Callithrix jacchus: one gene and its partners. The protein of the gene in region 5 binds, or shares a complex with, the protein of the main gene of each other region. Links are inferred from orthologs where the notes say so. Each region holds a gene or a part of one and is shown on either strand. Other genes may lie near its edges.

Region 1 (4,291 bases), on a different chromosome or scaffold from region 5:
TTTTTTTTTGAGACCGAGTTTCACTCTTGTTACCCAGGCTGGAGTGCAATGGCGCAATCTCAGCTCACCGCAACCTCCACCTCCTGGGTTCAGACAATTCTCCTGCCTCAGGCTCCTGAGTAGCTGGGATTACAGACATGCGCCACCATGCCCAGCTAATTTTTTGTATTTTTAGTAGAGACGGGGTTTCACCATGTTGACCAGGATGGTCTCGATCTCTGGACCTCGTGATCCACCCGCCTCGGCCTCCCAAAGTGCTGGGATTACAGGCTTGAGCCACCACACCTGGCCTAAAAAATCCTAATTCTTATTAGGATTGTAGTAAGGTTCCGTTGAGATTCATCATTGTTCTTCATTCGTAACAGGAAAATATCCTGCTTAAGAGCAGTAAAAACTTTTAGTATAAGAGTATTGTGATGAAGAAGGAAAGCAAGAAACACACACACACACACACAGCTTCAACTGCAATCTGAAAAACAGAAAATGAACAATAAATTATGAACTAATGACAATTGCTCCAGAAAACTGAAGAGTTAAGAGTGAAAAATAACAATACCTAATATTTATTAGGTGCAAGAGTTAATAAGTTAAAAAAAAAAAAAAAAAAAGCAAGGACGTACTAAATACATCATAGGAAAACATTTTCTGGGAGAGGTCGAAAAGTAGAAAAGAACGCCCAAGACAGCAAACCTCTACTATGGACTATCTACTAAACATAAAATTACTGCTATTTCAGCCTATTAGAAATCAAGGCTCCATCCGTTATTCACCATTGCTAACTATGATGATGATGATGATGATATCAGATTGTATATACTGATCAACTACATTAGAATGACAACTAGATGGACCGCAAACTAGAATATATAAGTGGTTATTGTCACTATCTGTGCGTCTTTTAATCTGGGAAATGCATATTCACTCCATAGTCTCATTATAAACTATTTTAAAATTACATGTAAGCCAACCAGATGTCTCTTTTATATTTCAGGAGTGAATAATGAGGATAAATTCCAGCAGAGAGTTCTATTTTAAGCAATCCAAATGCCCCGAACTTTGCTGATTCTTCTAGCGTTAGAACCTTTGCTATTTCCCTGGCACGTCTTGAAACTTATGACTCACAAATGCCGGGACATGAAATCACAGCAGAGAACAGGTGAAAAGTTGTTCCTAGTTGTATTATGCAGGCGCATACAATTCCCGCCATTCTCTGTGCAAAAATCAACAAATAAACAGAGGCACCGCATTTCGGATTCTGTTACGCACTGTTCGCAATGGCGCCTGGTGTTCGTAGTTTCTATGAGGGAAGCCGCCAGCGTGCCAACCCTTGCTCAGGAGGAAGAAAACTACATTTCCCACAAAGGAACACGGGCGAACACTGGCCGGCTTACGTCATTGCTTCAACCAACCAATAGCAGCTCCGGGCGGCAGTGAGGCAAGCGCCGTCAGGCGCCAAAGTGGTTTTTTTCTTTTTTTTTTTTTTTTTTTGCCGGAGTCGAGCGGGTGCTGCTAGCGGAGGCGCCATATTGGAAGGGACAAAACTCCGGCGACAGCGAGTGACACAAATAAACCCCTGGACCCCCTCGTTCCCTCAGCTCTAAGGGCCGCGATGTTGTACCTAGAAGACTATCTGGAAAGTGAGTGCGCGGCGCTGGCGGGGGCCGCCGGTGGGACCTGTGGGCGGGCGAGAGCGCGAGTGGACGGGCAGCGAGATGGCGGAGAGGGAGGGGGCGGCGGGGGATGTTTCTTTCTCACGGTAACTGGCAGCCTCGTTGTAGGCTGCCGGCCCCCTCGACCCCCCCGACGCACACGCGCAGTGACGTAAGCGCGTATTTCGCCGTTTGCCCCACCCCTCTGACGGACTCTCTTTTTGACAGTGATTGAACAGCTTCCAATGGATCTGCGGGACCGCTTCACGGAGATGCGCGAGATGGACCTGCAGGTGCAGAGTAAGCTGGCGCGTCTACTACTCTTCTTCGCTGCGCGCGTTCAGTGCCAGACTTGCTTGTCATTATTGCTAACACCTAATGCTCTTTCACTGTCCTCTGGCTCACTCCGCTAGTGCATAAGGAGTTGTCAGAAAGAACTAGCAGTCCTGAATCTCGCCTTCTCCTTCCCTCCTGTGCTACTTTTTTTCTGGCTTTTGCAAGAGGAGGAGGCATTGGGACCCGTGTATTCCTTTCTAGAATGTGGGATTGTGCAAAAAATATTTTTCTACCGTCATTGAGATAGTTACCTATGTTTCAATGGACGTCGGCATAAATGTTGAGATGTTGTCTTGATCCTTTTGTATCGAATTAAGATTTCAGCATTTATACTTATAAAGTTAATTCTATTCACAGTTTTTCAAGAGTAGAAAGCATAGAAGCGCAGGTTATATATAGCTCTTTAGAGACCCTGGCGAATGTCAAATTTTGAAAAGTTAGTTACACATTATAAGATACATTTTGAATTGTAACAGAATCATCATTTTCTTAGTTAAAATGAGTGACAGAAATAAGATTTCACTGTAAAGTTTCTTACGTAATGTACTAAAAAATGTGGCAGTTAATGAACGTTTCTTTTTCTTTCAGTGATAGCTTGGCAGTCCTGTGACTTTTTCCACAAATTAACCTTGCTCTTTCGTAGAGCAGGGGCAGTGAAAAGGACAGGTTCTTAGCTCAGGGACCACTTGCCTTAGCTAAGAACCTGTCCTTTTCACTGCCCCTGACTTCTCTGCGTATGACTACACCACTACTTATATACTGTTTGTTTATGAGTACATTTTTCTTGTAAGTTTCAGGAGGCACATAATAGAAAGTGGTAGCGTGGAAGCCACCTTCTGTTCAGTGGATTGTGGTATGAAGTATGAATTGTGTGTGTGGTTCTCCGGCTGTCTCACAAAATCCATTTTAAATTTAGTGTAGTTGAAATGCTAAAGATTTGCTGAAGTAGTGTTCTCTGCAGGATTGAGCTATCAGATAGATCTGAGTTTGTTTTAGGGCTTTACTAATTTACTCATTGACTTCGTATTACCACTTGTGAGGGACTTCCATTGTAAAAAGAGAATCAAATAAGGATTTAAAATATTATAGTTGGATTAGAATTTATAGCATCTGATACAAAGTAGGCATTAATGGACAATTTATTTTAAATTTAAATTATTTTATATTTTATTGTTTGAAATTTTAAATTATTTTGTAATTTGGGCTTATGTCATACATATTACAGGCTTTTTAAAAGTGCTTTTCTTTACAGTAACTAGAATTTTCTAAAGTTATATAGGAATTATGGATTAACAGAACAATGTGCTAAATAAATTCAGACATGCTTATTTAAACAAAGGAAGATGCCTCTAAAAAATTAACCATAGGACTTCATAGAGTCTTTAAAGGGCTAGTATGGACTGAAAAATCTCCAAAAGAAGTATATTATAAAACTATTTTTCTCAACTTAAGTGACAACAGAATGCTTTCTCCTCCACCCTTTTTTTTTTTTTTTAGCAGACATCCAATGAGATGATTAGTCTTGGCACATAATTTGGGGAAAACTTATCTAGAAATAATGTTTAAATGATTGTACCTATTGCTTTCAGTTGGCATATGACATGATGAGATATTTAATGCTATATACCAAATCTGTTTATCACTTTTCCTTGTTAAAAGAAATGTGAGGATTATCTAATGGTGTTTTAATTGTGTTTTGGTGCATTTGGCTGTTTAATACCTTTAGCTTTTGACCCCAATGCTGTATTGCTCAAAAATTATAGGATAGATCCAGTCTACTTTGTCGACTCTACTTAGGCTATTGGAAAAAGTTGTGAAATAAGAAAAACAAAAATAATCCATCAATAAGGAAAATTGTAACTCTTTAAAGGAAGGTAATTAAGGCATTACATATTTACATAATCAAAGAATAACATGTTTAAGTTACTGGCAGAGTGAAAGAAGGTGTATTGTTAGATTTTTTTTCCTCCCTAAATCAAACCATGTATATTTGATATATGAATTTGGTCATCTAAATATGATTTTTTTATTATGTCATAGATGCAATGGATCAACTAGAACAAAGAGTCAGTGAATTCTTTATGAATGCAAAGAAAAATAAACCTGAGTGGAGAGAAGAACAAATGGCTTCCATCAAAAAAGTATGTGCAACACTTTGGATAATTTAGGGAGTTGGGGAGAGATAGCATGGGAAGAAAACCAGATATAGGTGATGGGGAGGAAGGCAGCAAATCACACTGCCATGTGTGTACCTATGCAACAATCTTGCATGTTCTTCACATGTACCCCAAAACCTAAAATGCAAT
Region 2 (4,167 bases), on a different chromosome or scaffold from region 5:
GAACATAGGCAAGGGCCACTGCTACACCTGGCTAACTGAACATTTGTCTTGCTCTGTGGCTGAGGCTTGTCTGTAATTCCTGGGGTCAAGCAATCCTCCCGCCTCTGCCCCAAAGTGTTGGGATCACAGGCGTGAGCCACTGCACCAGACCTGAAGTCTTCATTTTGTTCACTGATGTATTCCAGGCTCTAGAATAGTGTCTGACACATGTTTTGGGTCCCTAAATATTTTTTGAATGTATGATGAGTATCACACATACTATCTTTATAATTATAAACCTAATATACAAAACAACGGCCGGGGCCGGGGCCCTAGAACTTTGGGAGGCTGAGGTGGGTAGCCTGCTTGAGCTCAGAAGTTTGAGACCAGCCTGGGCAGCATCTTTTTCTTTTTTTTGAGAAAGGGTCTCACTCTGTCACCCAGACTGGAGTGCAATGGCAGGATCTTGGCTCACTGCAACCTCTGCCTCCTGGGTTCAAGACATTCTCTTGCCTCAGCCTCCTGAGTAGCTGGGATAACTGGAGGACACCACCATATCCAGCTAACTTTTACATTTTTAGTAGAGATGGGGTTTTACCATGTTGGCCAGGCTGGTCTTGAACTCCTGACCTCAAGTAATCCCAGAATTTTGGGAGGCTAAGGCGGGCAGATCACGAGGTCAAAGGATTGAGAGCATCTTGGCCAACATGGAGAAACCCCGTCTCTACTAAAAATACAAAAATTAGTTGGGCATGGTGGTCCGCGCCTTTTGTCCCAACTACAGGGGAGGCTGAGGCAGGAAAATCGCTTGAACCCAGGGGGCAGAGGTTGCAGTGAGCCGACATCGCGCCACTGCTGCAGAGCGAGACTCCGTCTCAAAAAAAAAAAAAGCGTAGTATACAAAATAAAGCTAGGAATATTCCCTGAATCCTCCTGCCTATGGAATGAAGTCCACAGACTTGGAAGAGCGTTGAAGCCCCTCTAAAGCCACTCCCTTCCTCCAGCCTCTCGGCCCGTAGCTCAGCACTAGCAGTTCACTCCCGGCGATACCTCCCGCCGCCACGAGGAGACGCCCCAGCACCGCCCTCTGTCAAAGCCCAAACAATATTGCCACGTGACCCGCTCCGCATCCACGTGACCAGCGTCGCACGCGGTGGGCGTCAGGTGACGGGCTCAGTAGTTCTCCAATCGCTGTGCACGTTGTGGGGTTTCCACTTAGGGCTCGGTCTGAGGCTTGTAACACCACATTCTCCCCCAAGCCACAGGGGCAGTCTTGCCGCTGGCAGCTGGGTGGCGGTGTCTCTCAAAGGTCCTCTATAGGGGCTTCGTGAGGCCCAAGCCTACAGCACTCAGTTCCGGAAGTGACGTCTCCCAGAGGGGCCGGAAGTGGCAGTGGAGGGAGGGAAGATGGCGGAGGTGGTGAGTCCGGTGCCTGGGGCGGGGCGGAGGGAGCCAGGGGAGGTGGGTAGAGCCCGAGGCCCCCCAGTAGCCGACCCTGGCGCCGCGCTGTCTCCCCAGGGGGAGATAATCGAGGGCTGCCGCCTACCCGTGCTGCGGCGGAACCAGGACAACGAAGATGAGTGGCGTGAGTGACGTCGGGGGGCGGGGCTAAGGAACCTGAGGGCGAGGGGCGGGAGGGAGTCCACTGAACCCCCGGGATGGGGAGGGGCCTCTGGAATTATGGGGCGGGCGGGGCTCAGACACTCCGATGAAGGGGCGTGGCTCTTAGCTGCTATGAGAGGTACAGGGCGGGGTCTGGAAAGGGGTGGCACTTGTGACTGAAGGAGGCTTGGATGAGACCTTCCAAGTGCTGCAGCTTAGGGATCCGGCCTGGGGGTGGAGTTCAGGTCGTGGAAGGGTGGAGTCTCATGGCCTGGCCCGTCTAAGGTCCCTGCCTATGCTGTTCCCATAGCACTGGCCGAGATCCTGAGTGTGAAGGACATCAGTGGCCGGAAGCTTTTCTACGTCCATTACATTGATTGTGAGTTCTGGGCCTAAGGTGGGGCAGCAGGGTAGGGGGTTGGGGGGCAGTCTTTGGCATTCCTTCCTGAGCCATCCCCACTGCTACAGTCAACAAACGTCTGGATGAATGGGTGACGCACGAGCGGCTGGACCTAAAGAAGATCCAGTTCCCCAAGAAAGAGGCCAAGACCCCCACCAAGAACGGACTTCCTGGGTCCCGTCCCGGCTCTCCAGAGAGAGAGGTGGTGAGTAGGTCCCCCACTTCACCTCATCTCTCCTGCCTCCTATTTCTCTTATCTGTTGGCATTTAGGGGCTCCTGGATGGGCAGGAGGCGGCATCCTCTTACCCTGACTTCAGCTTGCAAAAGATGGGGGCCAAATTGCACATGTAGCTCCCAGAGTCCAGTAGTTAGTCCTGTGTCCTTCAGAAGGCAGAGGGTGGGGTTTGATAATTTTAAGCTGAGGGGCCCCTCTTCCCCTTCCCCATCCCACTGCCATCCCCGCCCCAGAGGAAGACCCTGGACCTATCTCTACAGCCGGCCTCGGCCCAGGCCAGCGGGAAGACCTTGCCAATCCCGGTCCAGATCACACTCCGCTTCAACCTGCCCAAGGAGCGGGAGGCCATTCCCGGTGGCGAGCCTGACCAGCCGCTCTCCTCCAGCTCCTGCCTGCAGCCCAACCACCGCTCAACGGTACCCTCAGCAATTCCAGGGACCTTGCTTTCTTCTCAGGTCCCACCTTCTCTACCCTCTGACCCACCTTTGTTGGTTTCTCTCTGCAGAAACGGAAGGTGGAGGTGGTTTCACCAGCAACTCCAGTGCCCAGTGAGACAGCCCCAGCTTCGGTTTTTCCCCAGGTGAGTTCCCCAAACCATTTCTTGTTCCTTTCCTCTCTTCTGCCCTCTGGTGGCCCTTTTCAAGCTCATCTCACAGTCATCCCTTCTTTTCCTGGTATCTCATCTGCAGAATGGAGCAGCACGTAGGGCAGTGGCAGCCCAGCCAGGACGGAAGCGAAAATCAAATTGTCTGGGCACTGATGAGGTGGGTCTGGGGAGCAGCAGAAGGGAGCTGCGTGAAAAGGAAGGGATGCAGGCAGGGTGGAGAGTTATTTAGTGATGAGTATAAAAATGAAGGGGTGGTGGACCTGGGCAGGGCTAGTGTTGGTAGGATTAGGAGCCAGGCAGAACATGGTTCAAATGAATCATTGGGGCTGGGCACCATGGTGCACACCTGTAATCCCAGCACTTTGGGAGGCCAAGGTGGGTGGATCACCTGAGGTCAGGAGTTTGAGACCAGCCTGGCCAACATGGCAAAACCTCATCTCTACTAAAAATAAAAAAATTGGTTGGGCACAGTGGCTGACACCTGTAATCCCAGCTCTTTGAGAGGCCAAGGTGGGTGGGTCATGAGGTCAAGAGATTGAGACCACCCTGTCCAACATGGTAGTGAAACATGGTGAAACCCCATCTCTACTAAAAGTAAAAAATCAGCTGGGCCTGGTGGCGCACGCCTGTAATCCCAGCTACTTGGGAGGCCGAGGCAGGAGAAACGTTTGAACCCCGGAGGTGGAGGTTGCAGTGAGCTGAGATTACACCACTGGTACTCCAGCCTGGGAAAAAAGTGAGCCTTTGTCTCAAAAAAAAAAAAAAATTAGCCAGACATAGTGGCAGGCACCCGTAATCCCAGCTACTCCGGAGGCTGAGGCCAGAGAATCTCTTGAAGCCCGGAGGTGAAGGTTGCAGCAAGCCAAGATTGCACCACTGCACCTCATCCTGGGCGACAGAGTGAGACTCCATCTCCAAAATGATCATTGGGTGATGTTTTCCACATCATCAGTCCCTTAGGGTTTCAGGTTTTACGTCTGGAAATTGGGGGTCATGGTACCTTCCCTATAGGGTTGCTGTTAGGCTTGAAGGAAACCTGTTGAGGGGGTGTGAGCTGTGGTGTCCTGCTGAGCTGTCTCGTCTAACCTGGTGTCTTCTACTCGCCCTGGGCAGGACTCCCAGGACAGCTCAGATGGAATACCATCGGCACCACGCATGACTGGCAGCCTGGTGTCTGACCGGAGCCACGACGACATCGTCACCCGGATGAAGAACATTGAGTGTATCGAGCTGGGCCGGCACCGCCTCAAGCCGTGGTACTTCTCCCCGTACCCACAGGAGCTCACTACATTGCCTGTCCTCTACCTGTGCGAGTTCTGCCTCAAGTACGGCCGTAGCCTCAA
Region 3 (3,500 bases), on a different chromosome or scaffold from region 5:
TGATCCTCCTGCCTCAGCCTCCCAGTAGCTGGGATTACAGGTGTGTGCCACCACTCCCAGCTGATTTATTTTTTATTTTTATTTATTTATGTTTTGTGAGACAGAGTCTTGCTCTTGCCCAGGCTGAAGTGTAGTGGTGTGATCTCAGCTCACTACAACCTCAGCCTCCCAGGTTTAAGCAATTCTCCTGCCTCAGCCTCCCAAGTAGCTGGGATTACAGGTGCCTGCCACCATACCCAGGTAATTTTTTTGTGTTTTTAGTATAGATGGGGTTTCACCATATTGGCCAGGCTGGTATTGAACTGCTGACCTCGTGATTTGCTTGCCTTTGTAGGGCTAAGGGCCCCACAGGGTCGTGAGGTGTCCCTTAATGCTGTGCTGAGGCACAGGATCCAAGAAAGAGACAGGACACGGAAGTGCAAAGAAAGCACAGCTGGGCTGGGAGTGGTGGCACACCACCTGTAAGCAGAGACAGGTGAGGCCTGAATGTCCAGAAGCGTCTGTATTTATTGAGTATAGGTTAGGGGGCAGGGTAGTGAGTGAAGTCATCTTTAAGGATAGTGATAGGGTCGTGAGCAATAAACAAGGGGTCCACCCCTATTAGGTCATTGAGGCAAGGAGGCAGGCCTTGTGCAGTAAGGGGTCCACCCCCGTTAGGTCACCGAGTCATGGAGGTGGGCCGTGCGCAGCGAAGAGGGTGCAGTGTGCAATATCTCTTATCTATGAGAGTGTCTGTATGAGGATGCTTTAAGTAACACAGCAGTGACAAAGCTGTCAGGGTCTACCGCCACCTGCTGGCAGCTTCCAGTGAGTTCTATAGGAGGATGCTTTTGAGCCAGCACCATAGCAAGAGCTGATAAGTTCACAGTCACCAAGGTGGATTGCCCGTCTGAGGGCAGCCTTCCACAAGAACTGGAGCAAGGTCCTACAACTCCTTTATCAGGAGGAGTGGCTCTCGCCCCAAGCCTGCCATACAGCAGGTATCTTTACGATACTGAACGCTGCTGCCTGGGCCATGGATTCTTGTCCTGGCATAACTGTTTGTCCCTTAAATCATGCTCTGAACTGTGTCTGCTCCAGACATTCCTCTGATTATAAGCTGCTTATTCCTTAATTAATGCTCTGTACTGTGTCCACTCTAGGCATTCCTCTATGAACTAAGGTATAATCATATACATATAGGGAAATAACTGAGTGGTAAGATATTCTTTAGGCACGCATTCTATGAACTAATGTATGATTATATATAAAGGATTGTGCGAAAGGGAATAACTGAGCAGTAACACTGTAGACTGAGATATTCTTCAGGCACTAATTGTGCCAGGATTCTGCTTAGCTCCCCTCCCTCGGCGCCTATGTAGAGGGTTACCCACAGCCTTGACCTCCCGGAGTGCTGGGATTACAGGCATGAGCCACTGCGCCTGGCCAATTTTTGTGTTTTTTGTATTTTTAGTAGAGATGGGATTCACTATGTTGGCCAGGCTGGTCTCGAACCCCTGACTTCAAGTGATCTGCCCGCCTCAGCATCCCAAAGTGCTGGTATTACAGGCAGGAGCCACTATGCCCAGCCTCTTGTTTTTTTCTTAATAGCTTTATTGAGATACAATGCACATACTATATAATTCACCCATTTAAAATGTACAGCTCAGCATTTTGTAGTATATTCACAGAGTTGTGCAGCCATTGTCACAATTTTAGATCATTGCCTTCACCCCAAAAAGAAACCCCATACCTCCTACCTGTCACCTCTAATCCTCCCATACCCTCCTGTCTTCAGTTCTAGGCAGCCCTGGTCTTTCTCTGTATATGGATTTGCCTGTTGTGGCTACTTCGTGTAGATGGACTCATACAGTATGTGTCTTTCACGTGTGGGCTTCTTTCCTGTAGCTGTTATTTGTGTCCAATGGTACCGAGTGTTAAACACATTGAATAAGGAGTCTTCCAAGCAGGCTTTGTGTGGGTGTGGGCGACAAGGCCATCTTATTTCTCACTTGGGTGCAAGCAGGCCGAATCCGAGAAAGGACAAGGGTGGGAATTGATTTGATAGGTTGGGGCAATTTTTTGCGGGGGGTGGGGATGTTGCAGAGTAAGATCAGTTAAGTGGCGGGGGGTAGGGGCAAGGCGTATACATTACGATAAGTTCAGTTACAATGGCAGGTGGTAAGGCAGAAGAGTAGTTAAGATGGCAGGGTGGGGTGAGAGGCTTGTCCTGGGGAAGCTCCGCTGGGTGATTGGGGCTGGTGGGGGACGACAGTCAGCCGAGGCAGGACTTCAGACTTTCTGGGTCCAGGCTTGCACATGGAGACCTGACGTTCCTGTCCTTTTATATAGACAGAGAAAGAGAGAAGAGGGGGTGATGACAGGTTTCGGGGGGTGAGGGCTAAGTGTCTCAAGGCTACTTTGTGCGTGATGGGACCGCACGGACACCTAAAAATTTTTTTTTTAGTGGAGGAGACAGAGTAGAAGTGGGAACAGGACAGGGACGAAAATAGGAAAGGTCTGGACACGACGTTTGGCCTCACACATGCTTCAGCTGCTGGGGAACTTTGAGGCCCCGCGCGGTATTGTGGGGTTGTCCAGAGCAGCAGGTGCCGATTTGTGATCGCCTGGATGCGGTTTCGGATGAATTGGGAGGGTAAGCGGAAGACACAGGGTCCGAACAGATGGGTGTTAAAGAAGTAGGGATCGGAGGGAGCCGGGACCTCCAGTTAGAGAATGGCCAGGCAGGTTCGGCGGAGGTGTTTGCCTGGTCAGCAAACTTCTGAGTTTTTTGATATGATCATACACTAGGCCAGATTGCTTTAAGTAAAAACAACATTCTTCGTTTAGAAACATAGAGTCCTCCTTTTTCTGCGGTAAGTCGAGGCCACGATGGTTTTGGAGATCAGCTGCAGCCAGAGTCAATTTGAGCCTGAAGGGCAGACAACGTATTAGCTAATTGGTAATGTGGGCAGAGAAATCAGCAGACAGACTGCGGAATGCTGTGACGGAGGAGGTGAGCCCTGCCGTGCCAGTTCCAAGGCCTACCGAGGAGGCTGCAAGCCCTGTTCCCACGAGGAATGGAGTTAGCTGCATAGCTCTTTCTCGTCGGGTAGGTGTCATGAGGGGGACAGGCAGGTGTTCGTTACCAGTGGCAAATTGGATCTTAGGAATAAGGAAGACTAAGGGACAGGTGCCTGTCCAGTTAGTGGCAAACACATACAGTTAGAGGAGCCACCTGGGAAGAAAAGGCCTGGAGCGACGCAGAATTGAAAACACAGGGTGAGGCCGGGCGCGGTGGCTCACGCCTGTAATCCCAGCACTTTGGGAGGCCAAGGTGGGTGGATCATGAGGTCAAGAGATCGAGACCATCCTGGTCAACATGGTGAAACCCCCTCTCTACTAAAAATACAAAAAATTAGCTGGGCACAATGGCGCATGCCTGTAATTCCAGCTACTCAGGAGGCTGAGGCAGGAGAATTGCCTGAACCCAGAAGGTGGAGATTGTGGTGAGCCGAGAT
Region 4 (4,073 bases), on a different chromosome or scaffold from region 5:
CTAGAAGGTCAAACAAAAGGACAGGAAAGGACATAAAATAAAAAGATATGAGATATGGCTTTCTTCTTCATCAGCCAATGCAATTTCATCACACACAAAGGACACCAAAGCTGATAAATAATGTACAAGTGTTTCTTTTTCCTTTCTTGTGGCTACATTTTCAAATTTAATTTATTGTACATTTATATAATTTCTGACAAATTTAAAAAAAACTTTTCCTTAAAGATAATTTCAAATGGATAAAAGAAATAGTATTATAAACCTACATGAATCCATCATCCAGCTTTCAACAATTACCAACTGAAGGCCATCTTGTTTCATCTATAACCCCACCCACTGCTCCCCCGCACCCCCGACTTTTTCAAGCTCACCGGAATATCTGGCTTTTGTATTTTATTCCAGAAAAATTTAAACGTATACCAAGGAAAGCAGATAAATATAAGGAACTCACTGCGTATCAATCAGCTTAAATTATTATTAATTTAGGGCTAATTTTTTTTCATCTATACCCCTCCCCATTTCCCCCCACCGCTGAGATTATTTTGAAGCAAAACCTAGTCATTAATGTATTTAGAAGTCAACCTCAGACATTACATTATTTAATCCGTAAATATTTTTGCATATGTCTCTACAAAAAAAGGACAATTTGAAAACATAACCACAATACTACTGTGACGCCTAAAAAAACTGACATCAATTCCTTAAAAAACATCAAATATCGAATCCGTGTTCCAATTTTCCCGATGCGTCTTAAACGTATTTTTACAGTTGGTATGTTCGATTCAGGATCCAAACAAGGCCTACTCATCGCATGTGGTTCATCTCCAGCTCGCTCTCGTTCTCCATCTCTTTCTTTCTCGCACCCCCCACACCTTTTATTTAACTTTTCAATATGGAAAAATTACAATCTATGCTATTTTCAGGCAATTCTCAAATAGCAAATTATTTCATTGTTAAAAATCGATATATCTCTTTTATCTTTTATTCTACGAAAGAAGTTGATGGTAGAAAGGGCACTACAATTAGCGAATCTGCATAATTTATAATTTTTCTCATTCTATTACGCAGATTATTTATCTCCATAACAATACATAATATCTTCAGGAGCCAGGCTTCATATTACATGCTCTATACGCACTATTATACAGTAAACGTCGCTGAGGTAGATACTATTATTATCACCATTTTACAAACATGGAAACCGAGACACAGAAAGAACAGGAGCCTTGCCCAAGCTGGGCGTTGGCAAGCAGGAATTTGAATCCAGCTCTGACCGATTGTGAAGCCACTAGCTAATCCCGTCTCTACCCGACGAAAAGAGGAAATCATCGACCCTTTCTCCCCACCCCCACCCCGAAACCTGAAACGAGAATCCAGATCTTCCCAGCAGCCGACGTGTGATCACTGCCGTTCCTCCAACCGCCATAGTAAAGCCAGGTTTCTCTGGCAACTGATATCCATAGGCAGACACGTCACCCTGGAGGAGGGCGTATGCTCTTCAGCCAATCACAATCGTCTTGTCTAAGTTTTAGAATGTTCCATAACCAAATGATTGGATAACCACCCCCACGTCAGCAATGACACTTAGCCGCAGTAAAGGCGGGTGCTAGCAACCTGCTTCTTCACTGTTAAGGCCTACAGCAAACCAATCACCTTCCTCCGTTAGTGCGAGTTCCGGCCAATGACGTTCGCCCTCTTAGGTTTTTAGCCCGCCCTCCAAAAGCGTGACAGCCGTTGGGTCATAAGTCTATAGGGCAGAATGTTCACGTGGCCTATTTCACGACCCAGAGTTCCTCTGACCAGAAGGTTTTTTTTTTTTAATTTTTCTTTTCTTTTTTTTTTCTGCAGGGAGGCATTATGGGTTTGTGTTTCCCCCCTCCTTCACTGGGAGAGGAAGTGTCTACGTGGCCTGCGGAAATAGGATAGGCGGAAATGAGCTAAGGTTCCCGCGAGTGGGGAAGCGAGAGGTCATATCTGGGGCCACGCCCCCAGACCTGTGGCGCAACTCTCCGAACATGAAAAAAAAAGACGCAATGGGGGTTCTGCTGTGTTTGCGAGTGAGGGTCCCGAGTGCCGCGGGCGCAAGGCATTAAGGCCAGTGTGTCAGTGCGCGGGAAGGCTCGCGTGGGGCCCTGGGGTTGCTCTGGGAGCGCGCACCGGCCCTCGTGGCGCGGGAGGTAATGTGTGTGCGCAGGCGTGCGCCCCGGGCGTCGGGCTGGTGAGAGCCACAGCGCGCACCGGCACTCGGGCGCGCGGGCGCGCGTGTCTGCTGGTGTTGGGGGGCGGTGAGGGGAGGGGTTAGCTACGGCGCGCAGGTTGTTATCTATTTCTGTATTGTTTGAAAATGTTCTAATGAAAAGGAAAATAATTAAGGCAAGGCGACAATAACAGAGATAAAAGGGGCTTTGTCAGAAATATTTTGGCTTTCTCTACTGATTTAATTAAAGACTTAAAAAAATACACTCCCTACGTTTTCCTTTCTGCCAGAATCCCACTGTAAACCACAGCCCTCCAGTGGTTTAAGAGCCAAACCCTTCCATCGCCACATTAGCAACTGCAAAGAGAGGCTTCTTTCAAGTTCTCTAGTATCCTCCTTCCTCCCCTCCTCCAAACCTCCCCCCCTCCCTCCAAGGCTGCATGCAGTTTTCTTGGCACAAATACAATTTTCCTATGGGAATGTCTATACGACAGCATTCCCCTTCATTAGGGACTCCGAATTTTTGTGGGGATTGAGGCGCTCTTACCTTTGCGTCCTGATTTCCAAGCACGCACACTGCCCTTCTTCAGGCAAATGCGCACTGTTAATTTTCCAGAAAGTTCTGTGGGTTAGGGTTATACCTCTCGAGTCTCCCACTAGATGCCGCCAAATCCCAGCAAAGGATTGGCTGTTTGGTCCCTGGGATTATGGGGTTTTGTTCTCCCCACTCCCCTTCTGATTTGCTGAACACTACAATCTATGAGGATCATGGCTGTCGTTCATTCCTAGGGAAAAATAAAATCAACTTCTGTAAATAACACAAGTAGGCAGGGGACTATGATCCAAGGTCCAAATAATTTTGCTTCTTTCTTTCCTTTTCTCCTTGGAAAAAAAAAAAGGTCCCTCTCCAGCACTCTCTTCTTTTGTCCTTGCCTTGTTTAATCAGAGTTAATGAATGACCCAAGCACTGATGTTGAATATGCTAACCCTTTTTCCTCACCTTTTCAAATGCTCACAATTCACCCAAACTGAAAATACAGATAGCTGTTCAGTCAGTAAAGATAGGTAAGAACTCATCAGTAAAACTTGGACCCTGGTATTGAAAACTGATTTTCCTTTTCTCTTGAAATTTGTATCAGATATGTGTGTTTACACCCTATTTTCTGTAGTGTTTTTGGTAAACTTTATTGTGTCTTTGGAGTAAGAGACCTAATTGTAGACCACATTCCATCACCTCAGTACGCTGGGCAAATGATTTATGTTTTGTGACCCTCAGTTTTTTGTATGCTTTCTGTATTTTAGATGCTATGTTATATCCTTCACGTCGATTTTTAAAAAATTCATCACCAAGTCCTTATTAGATGAGCACTACTAGATCAAAGTCAAATAACAAAAATCATATCCCTTTCAGTTATCTATCATATATACTTGTATACACACACAGGGAGGATTTTTTTAGAGCAGTGGTTCCCAAGGTATGTTTTCTGGATGTACCAGAAACATCAGTATAACCTGAAAAGTTGTCAGAAATTCACATTATCAGGTCCGACCCCAAACATAATGAATCAGAAGTTCTCAGGGTGGGGTTTGATAATCTGTGTTATTAACAAACTATCCCAGTGATTCCAGCACACACTGAAGTTTGAGAACCACTGCTTTGGAGAGTAGAAATGCAATGCATATTTTTGTACACACCACTAGAGGGTGCTACAGAATGTAAAGCAAAATAATAAATGATATACAATATATGTTTTCAGACACCCTCCATATTATCAGTCGTATTTTACAGATTAAAAACTAATGTATAGAGATGTCAAATTATTTTCTTAGTGCACACAACAAGTATGGGAACCAGGATTTGAACTTTACCTGCCTC
Region 5 (4,240 bases):
GCTTAAGGTGTAATTTATTTGCTGGCTTTTAGATCAGAGGCATTATTTCTACACCGTATCTATTATGTCTTGACCCCCACTTGACTATATTAGAGAGAAACAAGTACATCCAAGATTCTTAAGCCAACACAACTACTTTTGGAGGCAGCATGGCTCATCAAATGAAGAAGTATGTTAGAAAAACGTCCAGTGACAATAGTTTCAACGGAACTGTCTCAACCACCCACTGATAAATACTGGTGCATGTGAGTATAAGGAAAGGAGAATTGAAATACTGTAAACTCTAAACAAGTATTAAAATGGTCCATAAATTTCAAATCTCATAATAGAGAGAGTTGAAAAAAAACGAAGAGTAAAAGCATTTGGAAGAGGGGCCCTTGGAGGAAAGACCAGCTTCCAAGGAACACAGGTCAAATGAGTGGAGGCGGTAGTTCTTCTAATCATCCCCTCTACCAGGTGATGCTTCAGTACTATCCTTAACAGGCAATTTTAGACATCCTTAGAAGTGATTTAGGAAACAAGCAAATGTGCTTTGTGATACAAGAACTACGGAGATAATGTTGAAATTTCTAACTTCAAAAAGATGCACTAGTGAGAGAAAACAGACACGAAATTCCCATATTCTAATTCTCTAGCTTCCTGTAGAAAAATATCATCTTTAGGCATGTAAGCCAGCACATTTGACACTGACCCTGCAAAGTTTTCGGCTGGCCCTCACTATCTCTCAGCCCCCCTCTTCCTCCACTTCCCTGCTGTTCTTTCCTGGCACACAAAATATAGGCCAATGAGCAGTGGGTGGGTGAGGAGGATGTGAGAGAAAATTTGAGAAGTAAAAAAAGGAGCAACTTAACCAGGACATGAATGAGACTGAAGGGTCTAACAAGGGTAGGCAAACAACAATTAGAACTACTGAAAAATGGGCTTTCCCGGGCAGTAGTGAGCGCTCAGTGCTTTTAGGGGTTTAAGCAGGGGCCAGGCTACCTACCACTTGTCAGAGAGGCTGCAGAGGGAACGGCTGCTTTGGATGACCTCTAATGTCTCTTCCGACTCTGAAATGTTAGGATTCTTATTTCACAAAGGAGAACGCAATAATCATAGAAGCCCACTGACTGGGAACCCTTTTAAATACGCAGCCTTGGAGGCTGATTCCCAAACACCACTCCCACCTCTCCCGCACGTGCCCACCCCGCCCCCTTTCAATATTTCCACCTCCACGTGCAAATTGCCTCGCGGCACTGGCCCCAAGGCGGATAGACACCTTCCCCTGCAAAGCACCAAAACTATGCTCGCCCTCCTTCCAAAGAAGTGAGGACTACTACACTCTCCCACCCAGGGTGGCTAAAAAAGGAAAAGTCTCAGATCCAGCCTTTCTCCCCTAGCCAGAGCAGGGGACGGGGACGGGGGCGGGACACAGAGAAAAACTTTCTTCTCAAAATTTTCTTCCAGAGGGTGGAGGAAATGGAGAGAACCCCAACGAGTCCGGGGCTGAGGGGGTGGGGGGAGGGGAACCCCTGAATCGTTTAACGGCTGGAAGGGGGAGGGGGACTCCAGAGGTTGAGGGGGCGTGGGATGGAGAAGCAGGCCAGGGAGCGGGGTCAGGGAGCTGCGGGGTTCCTGGGGTCGGGGAGCTGCAGGCGTCCCCCCGACCTGGCACACAAAGCGGCTGCCGCGCTCGGCTCTCACCAGATCCTTTGTGTTTTCCATCAGGGCCTCATGGGTAGGGGTTGTCCGTGCTCCCCGAGCCCGCGGCGCCCCCTCCCAGGGCTGGGGGCAGGTGCCTCTCCCCGGGACTGCGGCGATACAGGGGGCCCCCGGCTGGGTCCAGACCGGTGGCGGCTGCGGCAGCCCCCGGATTTCCCCCCTTTAACTCGGGTGGCCCCAGGATATCAACAACATTAGCATAGCCCTCCCTCCCCAGCGCGCCTGCGCCGTGACCCGCGCCCCGATTGGCCCACTTCCCTACATACCCTCCTCTCTCGCTTCCAGCGTGGGACCCTCGGCAGGCTCCGTACTCCACGGACCGTACCAAGACGAAGGGTGGAAAGCTTATCGAGGCTTGTGTCAAGTCCAGTGATTAAAGTCAGGAGGAAAAGTAGAAGTTTCATTCAGTCGTCCCAGTGTATAATTGGGCTTTCTTGAGCTCCTTTCAATATGTTGCAGCTGCGAAGTTGTGTTGGAAAAATTTTCCACTCCAGTCACGCCGCTTCCCTCTACACCCGGAAGATTGGACCTCCCGGAGGAACTCCCACACGGGGCGGGGCCGGCTAGGGGAGCGGGAGTTACGTAGAGGGAGGGAGTGTTGGTCACGTGGCAAGGGGCTGCGCAGGCTCCTTCCAGCCCCCGGGGCTCCGGCGGCGGCGGACAGAGAGTCGCCTGGGCGCATGCGCAGCGAGGTTCCACGTGAGCGCCTGCGTTTCTCCTCAAACCCAAGGATGCCGCCGGAACGGAGGAAACGAATGAAACTGGATCGGAGAACAGGAGCAAAGCCGAAGCGGAAGCCCGGAACGAGGCCAGATTGGAAAGCGAGAGCCGGACCGGGCGGGCCGCCCCAAAAGGCTGCCCGTTCATCCCAGCGGAAACCGCCGGCTCGGCCGAGCGCGGCCGCCGCTGCAATCGCAGTCGCGGCGGCCGAGGAGGAGAGACGGCTTCGGCAGCGGAACCGTCTGACGCTGGAGGAGGACAAACCGGCCGTGGAGCGGTGCCTGGAGGAGCTGGTCTTCGGCGAAGTCGAGGACGACGAGGACGAGCTGCTGCGGCGTCTGCGAGGCCGGCGGGTGAGGGAGGCCGCGGCGCGCGGTCTGGGCGCGCTGGGGCGGGGCGCGCGGTGGGCGGTGAAGCTCCGGGGGGCGGAGCCTGGGCGACCTGCGCCGGCGGGGAGCGCTCAGGTGGGAGGGAGCCCGAGAACGCGGGTGCCGAGGGTCGCAGCTGCGGGTCCCTCGCCTCCCAGCGCTGGACTGAAAGTCTCTGGAGGGCGGGGACCGCGCCTTTCTCCGCCCCCGGAGGCGCCGCTCTTCGGGTATCCGCTTTGCGAACTGTGGTCTTGAGCATCTTTCGCTGCTGCTCCGCTCCTCTAGTCTCTCCCCAAACTGAGCCTGGTCGTTTGATCACCTGCCTCAATTCCTTGTGATTCAGAAATTCCATTTGGCTAATGGAATCAGTTAGTTGGCACGGGCCTGGGCATCTATCTGGGTTTTAACTATCTTCCCCATGTGACAATGAGACACACCGTCTTTTGAGACTGATCGTGTATTCGTCCATTTAGCAAAATATTGGTGAACCTGTTTGTTGCCAGATACCCAATCTGGCAATGGCAAACGCTGCGTGATTGATCTTACTTTTTGCACACATTTTGCCATTCCTTTAGTTCTATATCTGGCTTTTCTTGAGAGATAGAATCCCAGACATTGTTCGAGGCACTGGAGGAGACACAGCAATGGACGAAACTGCCAAAAACCCTGCCCTTTTGGAGCTTGTATGCTAGTGGCAGAGACAAGATAGATGAAATAAATGAGTAAACTTCAGGTTTGTTGGTGACAAGTGCTGAAGAGAAAAAAGGACATTCGGGAAAGCAGGATGAGCTTGTGTAGAGGAGGCCTGTTAAATTTTAGATGGCGGGGGCCGAGGAAAGCTCACTGAGAATTACCCAGTCCATGTTTATTACACGAATGCTGACCTAGCTAATGTCAGCTGCTTATCAGAGCCTCCTTTGGGTGCTTGTGGGAGAAGTGGCAGCCATCTATTTGGGAAGTAGAGAACTACCACTGGAAAAATGCTGAACTGTGACAGCTTTGTCGTCTGGAAAAGGACCAGTGTACTGAGGTGGGCGCTGTTGGGTTTGAAGGCACGTAGACTGGTAGTAGAGCAAGTAGAAATCACTTGGACATTTCTATCGTGGTTTTGGGAAGCTCAAGCTCACTTCAAGGGATGTTCTGTGGTCTAGGTTTAGATTTGATAGTATAACTTTATGGTATAAATTCATAATTTTATAATTTAGATTTGATGTTATAAACGTATTTACTAGTTATTTAATGATATAGTCTCACCCTGTCACCCAGACTGGAGTGCAGCAGCCCCAATTAGTCTTCCAGCTCTCTTATGCTAATAGTAACTGGTTGCTCTTCCTGTTCGTCACAGATAATTATATCTGCACAACGCTTTAAAGTAAGCTCAGAAGGCAGCTTCATCCTCCTAGGCTCAATTGATCCTCCTACCTCAGCCTCCCAAGTAGCTGGGACCACAG
Region 6 (3,500 bases), on a different chromosome or scaffold from region 5:
GTAGCTGGGACCACAGGCACATCACCATGCCCAGCTAATTTCTGTATTTTTTGTAGAGAGTGGGGGGGTCTCACCATGTTGCCCAGGTTGGTTTCAAACTCCTAGGCTGAGGTGATCTTTCCACCTCAGCCTCCCAAAGTGCTGAAATTACAGGTATGAGCCACAGAAACCTGGCCACTATATGCTATTATTTCAACTTTTTCTGTAAAGATACCAGGAATGACTTATTGTTCAGGTATCACGTAAAATATAAGAATTCAGAACAATATCATCATTTATGGATGCTAAAAATTATTTGATAAATTTTTATATTCTAGTGGGGTGTGGTGGTTCATGCCTGTAATCCCAGCACTTTGGGAGGCCAAGGCAGGAAGATCACTCAAGCCCAGGAGTTCAAGACCGGCCTGTGTAACATGGTGAAACCTTGTCTCTTCAAAAACAATACAAAAACTAGCCAGGCACATGCTCATATTCCTAGCTACTTGGGAGGTTGAGGTGGGAGAATTGTTTGAGCCCGGGAGGTTGAAGCTGCAGTAAGCCTAATGATCTCACCACTGCACTCCAGCCTGGGCAATAAAGCAAGATCTTGTTCCCAAAAAAAAAAAAAATTCATATTCCTGAAGAGGGCAAATTCAAAAGTTATTTCCTTTTGCTCAAGTGCATATATGCGGTATGGCACACTGGAAGAGAAACACGTACTGTACTGGGTACAAACTTAGCAATGTACATAGACACCATTTTCTGCCCCTACCCCAATCTGCCAGACCCACTGAGGTCTGGTCAATAGTAAGGGGCTTGGACCAGACACAGTTCCTGACTAAAGATGGCATGAGTCTAAGAACCTTAAATGGCCACTCATGTACCATTCAGGCACACTGAATCTGGCTTCCCTAGAAAGGAAGAAAATCAGCTTCACTCTCCTTTCTTGGGGCAGATGAGTGCCTAAGGCCAAGGGAGATCAGCCAGATATTAAATCAGAGGGAAGACAAAAGGACAGCAATAAAAAGCAAGATTCTGCTTTCCAAACAGAAAACACTATTTGTGAAGCAGTAACTAATATCAAAGATCTTTACAACACCACTATTCTTCTGGAAGGAGATAGCTCCTACTGCAAGGAAAGGATAGGAAGTAGTATTGTTCCTACTAAGTATGCTAGAAACTTGCAAGAAGAAAGTGAAGTTTAGCACTTCTTTAACTCCTTTTTATCAGTCAACAGGTAATGATGTCATTAATGAAAATGACCTGAAATAAACAGCTATCTAGAGAGTCTATTAATCAATAATGGAAAAAGCCCCAGAAATTCTGAAAGAGTTTCCTCCCTCCTCTAGACACTATGAAATAAGAAAATAATCATTACTTTAAAATGACACTAGGCCAGGTACACTGGTTCACACCTATAATTCCAGCACTTTGGGAGGCCGAGGCAGGCAGATCACCTGAGATCAGGAGTTCATGAAACCTGTCTCTACTAAAAACACAAAACTTAGCCAGGCACAGTGGTGCATCCCTGTAATCCCAGCTACTCGGGAGGCTGAGGCAGAAGAATCATCTGAATCCAGGAGGCAGAGGTTGCAGGGGGCTGAGATCGTGCCACCACACTCCGGCCTGGGTGACAGAAAGAGACTTTGTCTCGAAATAAATAAATAAATAAACAAACAAACAAACAACTGACTGACTGACACTGGAATAAATTTAACAGAACAATGCAGAGTATGACATTTAATTATCTTGACAATTAAATAAAATTTTAAGAGTATGTTTCTTTTCTATTCGTGATAAGCTAGCACCAGTCTTACTACAGTTGGTCAAATAACCTACAGCCTTTCAAAAATATATAAAGAGGAATATGCAATTTTTGCTATTTTTTAGTATAGTTATGTGATCAGGATGGAGACTTCTGGTTTGCAGAAAAATGTTAAGCAGCAGTCCTTACTCACTATTTGAAGGAATACTATTTCTGCAGTCTAAAAAACACTATTACCATCAACAAGAAAAACTCTTAAAAGAATTGAAGATCCTGAAAAATTTGATCTTTAAAGAAAGGAGCATAAAAAAAGAAAAAAAAAAAGAATTGAAGATCCAGCTGATGCCAACCAAGGAGGTTCAGGCAGAGTTAATTCTACGTTATCCCCAGGTACTGCCAAGTTTAATGCATTGGGTGCATGAAGGAATATGCTACAGATTTGTAAAGCAAATCCAGAAGCACACTGGAGGACAGGAATGCCACCCATTCCTTGCATGCCCCCTTTTACCTGCTCTGCATGCAGTCTTCCAGGAGAGGAGGAAAGAATACAGTTTCTAGAATGAGGAATCTTGCCCTTGCTTCAAAACTTCTAGGAAGCATGAAAACAGGTATGTATAGGGTCTCCATGTATCCCAGGTTTGAGGCCAGCAAAATTCCTTAGTTTAGAAACTGTACATTATCCTCTTTGGGTCAAGCTGCATAATTTCCAATTATCTGAGTTAACAAGCCCCCATATTATCATACAAACCCCAGGCACAGTGAATGCTGAAACCCCCTCTGGGTGACACCTGGCCTCTCTGTCCATTGGCATCATTCCTATCACATTATGTGTACTGCAAAAAAAAAACACGGTGCACCGATGTTACATGTTACCTACGAAGACACTCTCATATTTTACAGGCTTTATACTGTTCTTCCATTATCTGAAGTCAGCATGTTGCTGAGAAATACAGAAACAGAAAAATCACAAGCAATAAAAAAACTTGTATTTAAAGAGAAAAAAAGGCAGTTGAAATCAATTCTCTCCATCCACAACAAAATAAAAGTAGGCAAAAATCAGGATTAACAGCAGAAGACTTCATCCCACTTTACAGCTTCCCATTATGTACTAGTGGCATTTTTCAAATACTATTACACGGATCCCATTTCTATTTCTCCTTTTTCTCTTCTAAAAGTATCCCATGTTCACCATATGAAACAAGGTTTTATGGAATAAAACTATTCTGCACTAGAAACAGTGAGGATATCCTGGAGTCTTCCTTGAGGGTTATTCTAATGTCCACCAATTCCTCTCTCTGAGCAAATTAGACTATTCACTTGGACCAAAGGACTTTCTTGCCATCAGTAACAGAAAGGCTCTGCAACAATCCTAAAGCGTTGTTATTCTAGGCAATTCCCTTCACAGTAATGGTCATGGAAGCTGCAGGGGGTGGGATCCCTGCCACTGACCTGTGCCGGTTTTTATTCTTTCGCTTTTTATGGCTGCTGTGGTGACTCCCTGAGGAAGTAGAGGAAGCAGGCTTCTGAGGTTTCACTCCCTGCACAGATCCATCCAGATCCTCAGGGTCCTCCTGGCTAGGTTCGTTTTCCTGATTGTGGAAGTCTGGAGAAGTGTCACTTTCTGTCCCACTTCCTGGCTCCCCTGGAGGAAATAAAACAAGTTTCCAAACACATCATCAGTACTCCTCAGGCAATCTGTCCATCAACCTGAAGTATTTTTTGAACACTAGTAGGTAGAAAAAAACCACTCTTTATC
Region 7 (4,002 bases), on a different chromosome or scaffold from region 5:
TTTACTGCAAATCAATTATATCACAAAAAAAGTTGTTAAAAGGGATGTGACCTTTCTTACCAACCCTGTTCCTTCTTGTTGCATGGAACAAGGATGTGATAGCTGAAGCTCAAGGAACCACCATGAACCATAAGATAATCAGAAGATAAACTGTGCTGAGGAAGGTGGAACAGAAAGAGTAGTTTCTGACTTCTTAATGTCCCTGTAAAGTTGCTATGAGAGTTGTGGACTGCCTAGACTTACTTTATGTGTGAGAAAAATAAACTCAAGTTTTTAACCCATTTCTCTGTTGCTGTTGCTCTTACTATATAGTGTTTTTGTTTTTATGGTGGCCATGTATTACTTCAAAAATTAGATTAAAGAGACAAAAAAATGCTAGAAAACATAACAATCAGCAAAGTACTGAATTGTCTATAAATGTGGCAAGACAGTTAAATTCATAATGGATGATGCAAAAGAAAGGGGGTGGGGGCTGATAAAGGGCAAGGTAAAATGATAGTTCCAGGCTCAGAGTGATGGCTCACGGTTGTAATCCTAGCACTTTGGAAGGCTAAGGTAGGAAGATCCCTTGAGCCAGGAGTTCGAGACCAGCCTGGGCAACAAAGTGACAAAAAACAAAAAAAATTAGCCAAGCATGGTGGCACAGGTCTGTAGTCCTAGCTACTCAGGAGGCTGAGCTGGGAGGATCACTTGAGGCCAGGAGTTTGAGACTAGCCTGGGCAACATAGCAGGACCTTGTCTCTACAAAAACATAAAAATTTAAATAGCCAGGCATGGTGGTATGTGCCTGTAGTCCCAGCTACTCAGGAGGCTGCGGCTGGAGGATCGCTTGAGCCTAGGAGGCAGAGACTGCAGTGACCCAAGATCACACCAATGCACTTCAGCCTGGGCGTCAGTGACACAATCTTGAACAACAACAACAAAAAGTCAAACATAATAGAGTTACTACGTAACCCAGCAATTTCACTACTTGAACAAAAAACTCCAGAGAATTAAAAACATTGTCCATAACCTTATACATGAATGTTCATAGCAGCATTATTCACAACGGCCAAAAAGTGGAAACAACCCAAGTGTCTATCAAGTGATGAACAAACAAAATTTGGTATATTCGTATAACAGACTATTATTCAGCTACAAAAGGAATTAAGTGTTGAAACATGCTATATAAGAATGAACCTCAAAAGTGTTATGTTAAGTGATAAAGTCCAGAAGAGCACATATGATTCTATTTGTACGAAATACCCAGAATAGGCAAATCTATAGAGACAGAGAATTGGCTGAATATGGTGGCTCATACTTGCAATCCTCACACTTTGGGAAGCCAGGACTGGTGGATTAATTGATGCCAGGAGTTCAAGACCAGTCTGGACAAAACCCTACTAAAAATACAAAATCTCTACCAAAAATACAAAAATTAGCCAGGCTACTTTTGGTGGCGCATAGCTGTAATCCCAGCTATTTGGAAGGCTGAAGCACAAGAATCACTCAAACCTAGGAGGCAGAGGTTGCAGTGAGCCGAGATCATGCCACTGGACTCCAGCCTGGGCGACAGAGACTTAGTCTCAAAAAAGAAAAGAAAGTCTACTTACAGCTTAATATGATTAACTACAGAAAGCTACCAACATGAAAGCATATGCAACAATTTCTAAGACCCAGGAGAGCTGACATCCTAGGTACCTTACCAGTTTTGATCTCCACTTCTCATGACAGAAGATGCTAAACACAGCTTCTCTCGGATGGACCACGGCTCTGTGGGGCCAGTACTCAGCAGCTTGTGTTCTGGGAGAAAGAGAAAGAGAGAGAGAGAGAGAGAAAGAGGGGAGAGAGAGGAGAGAGAGAGAAAAAAAAAAACAAAACCTTGGAAACAACCGCTGAGACTGCAGTGCTACGCTCCGAAATCCCTAAAAGGAGGTCTAAAAGGCTAATAAAAAACATTTCGACTTGTTAGGACAAAGTGAACTGCTATCACCAAATCTCGATTTTCACCTCTCCAAGTGAAATACCAACAGTGAAGGTGGTACCTATTCGTTGCATGCGAATTACAGTATAACATTTTATTTCTTAAAACGCCATGGCTTGAAGCTCTGCTTTATTAAAAAAATAGGGAATGTCAGATTACGCAGTTCTCCCTAAAAGCCCAGTTTTAAGAATACTGGACTTTATTCCTCCAGTTTAACCGCGAGGGCTTTATTTCCCAGGAAGCCGAGCGGCCAGAACCTCCTACTACCCCGCCTCCCTCTTAGCATAAACTTGTTTACTTCTCTCAGCTCCTCTTCTCCCCACGTCAGGCCTAGGAGACTTTCAGTCCACGAAAAGAAAAATGTCTGAAATGCCCGAGACGCAATTTTCTCAGTAGCAGGAAAAGCTCATTGTTAAAAGACCCGACTTCTGCCTCACAAACGGAGGTCAGAAAATGAATGGCTCTTTGAGACGCCGGTTACTCCGACCCGACTGGCTCACAACATCTTTCAGTCTGCACGCCCAAGTTTCTAGATTGCTTTTACGGTTACCCCGCAGAGCTCCTAACACACTCGGATTCAGTAAGCTGCTTCTCTCAAACCTCCGCTCCCTCCCTGAGAAACAAGTCCCCAGATTTCTGGGGCCCCACACGTTGGTATTCACGATACTGTGGAGCGCAGGTCTCTGAAAACCTTGGGCTCTCAAGCAAACCACTTCTCCTACTCCTTAGTGGTGTAACAAAAATATGGTGCCTAGCCTCGAATCCACAAAGGCCTTTCACGCAAAACCTGCTCAGATACTCACTGCCCGTTCCCGTCGCCATCTTGGCCCCGAAATCTCCAACCCCGAGGAGAGACAGTCTGGTAGCTCCGAAAGCCGGGAATTCTGGGAAATAGAGTACTAGCGTTGGTTCGCGGTGCCTCCTGGGAAATGTCGTTCCCCCGCCGCCGCCCCAAGACAAAGCAAACACGCTAAACCAGTTATCTTGTGCACTTATGTTAAAAGTGTTGCTAAGGAAGGACAAGGGTTGGAGGCCGAAACCTCAAGATTTTCTTTATGCTGCTTGGATAAGAAATGTCTAGGATTCAAGGAAAAGTGTTAAGTTGGAAGAAGCCCCTGCCAAATAACTCCGAAATCGCGACAGTTGGTAACCCGGATCTACATTTGATTTGAGCGGTCAAGCGGAAGCAAACGACTGGAATTCCAGTTAGGTCCGCCCCTTTTCCTTACGCGGATTGGTAGCTACAGGCTTCGCTATCTGATTGGCCGAACGAACGCAGCGCGTAATTTAAAATATTGTATCGGTGACAAAGCTGCCCCTCGAGGGCGGAGTTGTGCTCTCCGGCTGCGACAGTCCGCTTCGGAGACCAGGTGTGAGTGAGCTGGTACCGGAGGAGGACCCAGTGGCACGTCTTCGGGTAAGTGTGCGGCTGGGCTGGAGTCCGGGTTACCAGCTCTTGCCCGCGCAGAATAGGCTTTAAGAGGGCGGAGCTGCAGCCATCTCTTTCTCTTAATGCTGCATCTTTGTTCTCACCGTGAGCCCTGCGGTGAGGTTAGAGAAGAAGCCGAGGGACCCTGACACCACCAGCACAGCACCGGCGGGCGAGGCGCCCTACTTGAGGCTTGGCCTTCTGCTTTTGGGGCCAGATTTCTGCGGAGTGCTCAGAAATTCCACCCCAAGGCCGGGCACAGTGGCTCAAGCCTGAATCCCAGCCCTTTGGGAGGCAGAGGCGGGCGGATCGCTAGGTCAGGAGATCGAGACCATCCTGGCCAACACAGTGAAACCCGGTCTCTACTAAAAACAAAAAAATTAGCTGGGCGTGGTGGCACACGCCTGTAGTCCCAGCTACTGGGAAGGCTGAGGCAGGAGAATTGCCACCCAGGAGGCGGAGATTGTAGTGAGCCGAGATCGCGCCATTGCACTCCAGCCTGGGTAACAAAAGCGAAACTCCATCTCAAAAAAAAAAAAAAAAAAGAAAAGAAAAGAAAAGAAATGCCACCTCAAACTTCTCCCAATTGTTCATTAAGTGAACTTCCTTC

What was found.
Region 1: MBTD1 (region 5) and ING3 share a complex: the UniProt entries of both Homo sapiens proteins name them as parts of the nuA4 histone acetyltransferase complex. The link is inferred for Callithrix jacchus from reciprocal best matches to the Homo sapiens genes MBTD1 and ING3.
Region 2: MBTD1 (region 5) and KAT5 share a complex: the UniProt entries of both Homo sapiens proteins name them as parts of the nuA4 histone acetyltransferase complex. The link is inferred for Callithrix jacchus from reciprocal best matches to the Homo sapiens genes MBTD1 and KAT5.
Region 3: MBTD1 (region 5) and RUVBL2 share a complex: the UniProt entries of both Homo sapiens proteins name them as parts of the nuA4 histone acetyltransferase complex. The link is inferred for Callithrix jacchus from reciprocal best matches to the Homo sapiens genes MBTD1 and RUVBL2.
Region 4: MBTD1 (region 5) and MORF4L2 share a complex: the UniProt entries of both Homo sapiens proteins name them as parts of the nuA4 histone acetyltransferase complex. The link is inferred for Callithrix jacchus from reciprocal best matches to the Homo sapiens genes MBTD1 and MORF4L2.
Region 6: MBTD1 (region 5) and MEAF6 share a complex: the UniProt entries of both Homo sapiens proteins name them as parts of the nuA4 histone acetyltransferase complex. The link is inferred for Callithrix jacchus from reciprocal best matches to the Homo sapiens genes MBTD1 and MEAF6.
Region 7: MBTD1 (region 5) and BRD8 share a complex: the UniProt entries of both Homo sapiens proteins name them as parts of the nuA4 histone acetyltransferase complex. The link is inferred for Callithrix jacchus from reciprocal best matches to the Homo sapiens genes MBTD1 and BRD8.

The regions. Positions count from the first base shown.
Region 1 is NC_133512.1:126,163,523-126,167,813, reverse strand, and holds the start of ING3 (inhibitor of growth protein 3), read left to right. Parts: upstream 1-1,491; 5' UTR 1,492-1,609; coding exon 1,610-1,637; intron 1,638-1,877; coding exon 1,878-1,949; intron 1,950-4,025; coding exon 4,026-4,126; intron 4,127-4,291. UniProt on the Homo sapiens protein: Component of the NuA4 histone acetyltransferase (HAT) complex which is involved in transcriptional activation of select genes principally by acetylation of nucleosomal histones H4 and H2A.
Region 2 is NC_133511.1:122,803,526-122,807,692, forward strand, and holds the start of KAT5 (histone acetyltransferase KAT5), read left to right. Parts: upstream 1-1,367; 5' UTR 1,368-1,386; coding exon 1,387-1,564; intron 1,565-1,891; coding exon 1,892-1,960; intron 1,961-2,049; coding exon 2,050-2,186; intron 2,187-2,450; coding exon 2,451-2,633; intron 2,634-2,722; coding exon 2,723-2,797; intron 2,798-2,906; coding exon 2,907-2,981; intron 2,982-3,937; coding exon 3,938-4,167. UniProt on the Homo sapiens protein: Catalytic subunit of the NuA4 histone acetyltransferase complex, a multiprotein complex involved in transcriptional activation of select genes principally by acetylation of nucleosomal histones H2A and H4.
Region 3 is NC_133523.1:42,837,434-42,840,933, forward strand, and holds part of RUVBL2 (ruvB-like 2), read left to right. Parts: intron 1-2,829; 5' UTR 2,830-2,944; coding exon 2,945-3,091; intron 3,092-3,500. UniProt on the Homo sapiens protein: Possesses single-stranded DNA-stimulated ATPase and ATP-dependent DNA helicase (5' to 3') activity; hexamerization is thought to be critical for ATP hydrolysis and adjacent subunits in the ring-like structure contribute to the ATPase activity.
Region 4 is NC_133524.1:99,740,774-99,744,846, forward strand, and holds the start of MORF4L2 (mortality factor 4-like protein 2), read right to left. Parts: upstream 2,801-4,073; 5' UTR 2,745-2,800; intron 1,430-2,744; exon of another isoform or gene 1,361-1,429; intron 1-1,360. UniProt on the Homo sapiens protein: Component of the NuA4 histone acetyltransferase complex which is involved in transcriptional activation of select genes principally by acetylation of nucleosomal histone H4 and H2A.
Region 5 is NC_133506.1:115,118,095-115,122,334, reverse strand, and holds the start of MBTD1 (MBT domain-containing protein 1), read right to left. Parts: upstream 2,801-4,240; 5' UTR 2,775-2,800; coding exon of another isoform or gene 2,433-2,774; 5' UTR 2,106-2,432; coding exon 1,968-2,105; intron 1,922-1,967; exon of another isoform or gene 1,705-1,921; coding exon of another isoform or gene 1,684-1,704; intron 1,452-1,683; exon of another isoform or gene 1,210-1,451; intron 1,050-1,209; exon of another isoform or gene 986-1,049; intron 1-985. Other genes in the region: UTP18 (U3 small nucleolar RNA-associated protein 18 homolog), read left to right, coding at 2,433-2,774. UniProt on the Homo sapiens protein: Chromatin reader component of the NuA4 histone acetyltransferase complex, a multiprotein complex involved in transcriptional activation of select genes principally by acetylation of nucleosomal histones H4 and H2A.
Region 6 is NC_133508.1:74,052,070-74,055,569, forward strand, and holds part of MEAF6 (chromatin modification-related protein MEAF6), read right to left. Parts: intron 3,387-3,500; coding exon 3,194-3,386; intron 1-3,193.
Region 7 is NC_133503.1:36,584,037-36,588,038, forward strand, and holds the start of BRD8 (bromodomain-containing protein 8), read right to left. Parts: upstream 2,801-4,002; 5' UTR 2,786-2,800; coding exon 2,767-2,785; intron 1,783-2,766; coding exon 1,686-1,782; intron 1-1,685. UniProt on the Homo sapiens protein: May act as a coactivator during transcriptional activation by hormone-activated nuclear receptors (NR). Isoform 2 stimulates transcriptional activation by AR/DHTR, ESR1/NR3A1, RXRA/NR2B1 and THRB/ERBA2.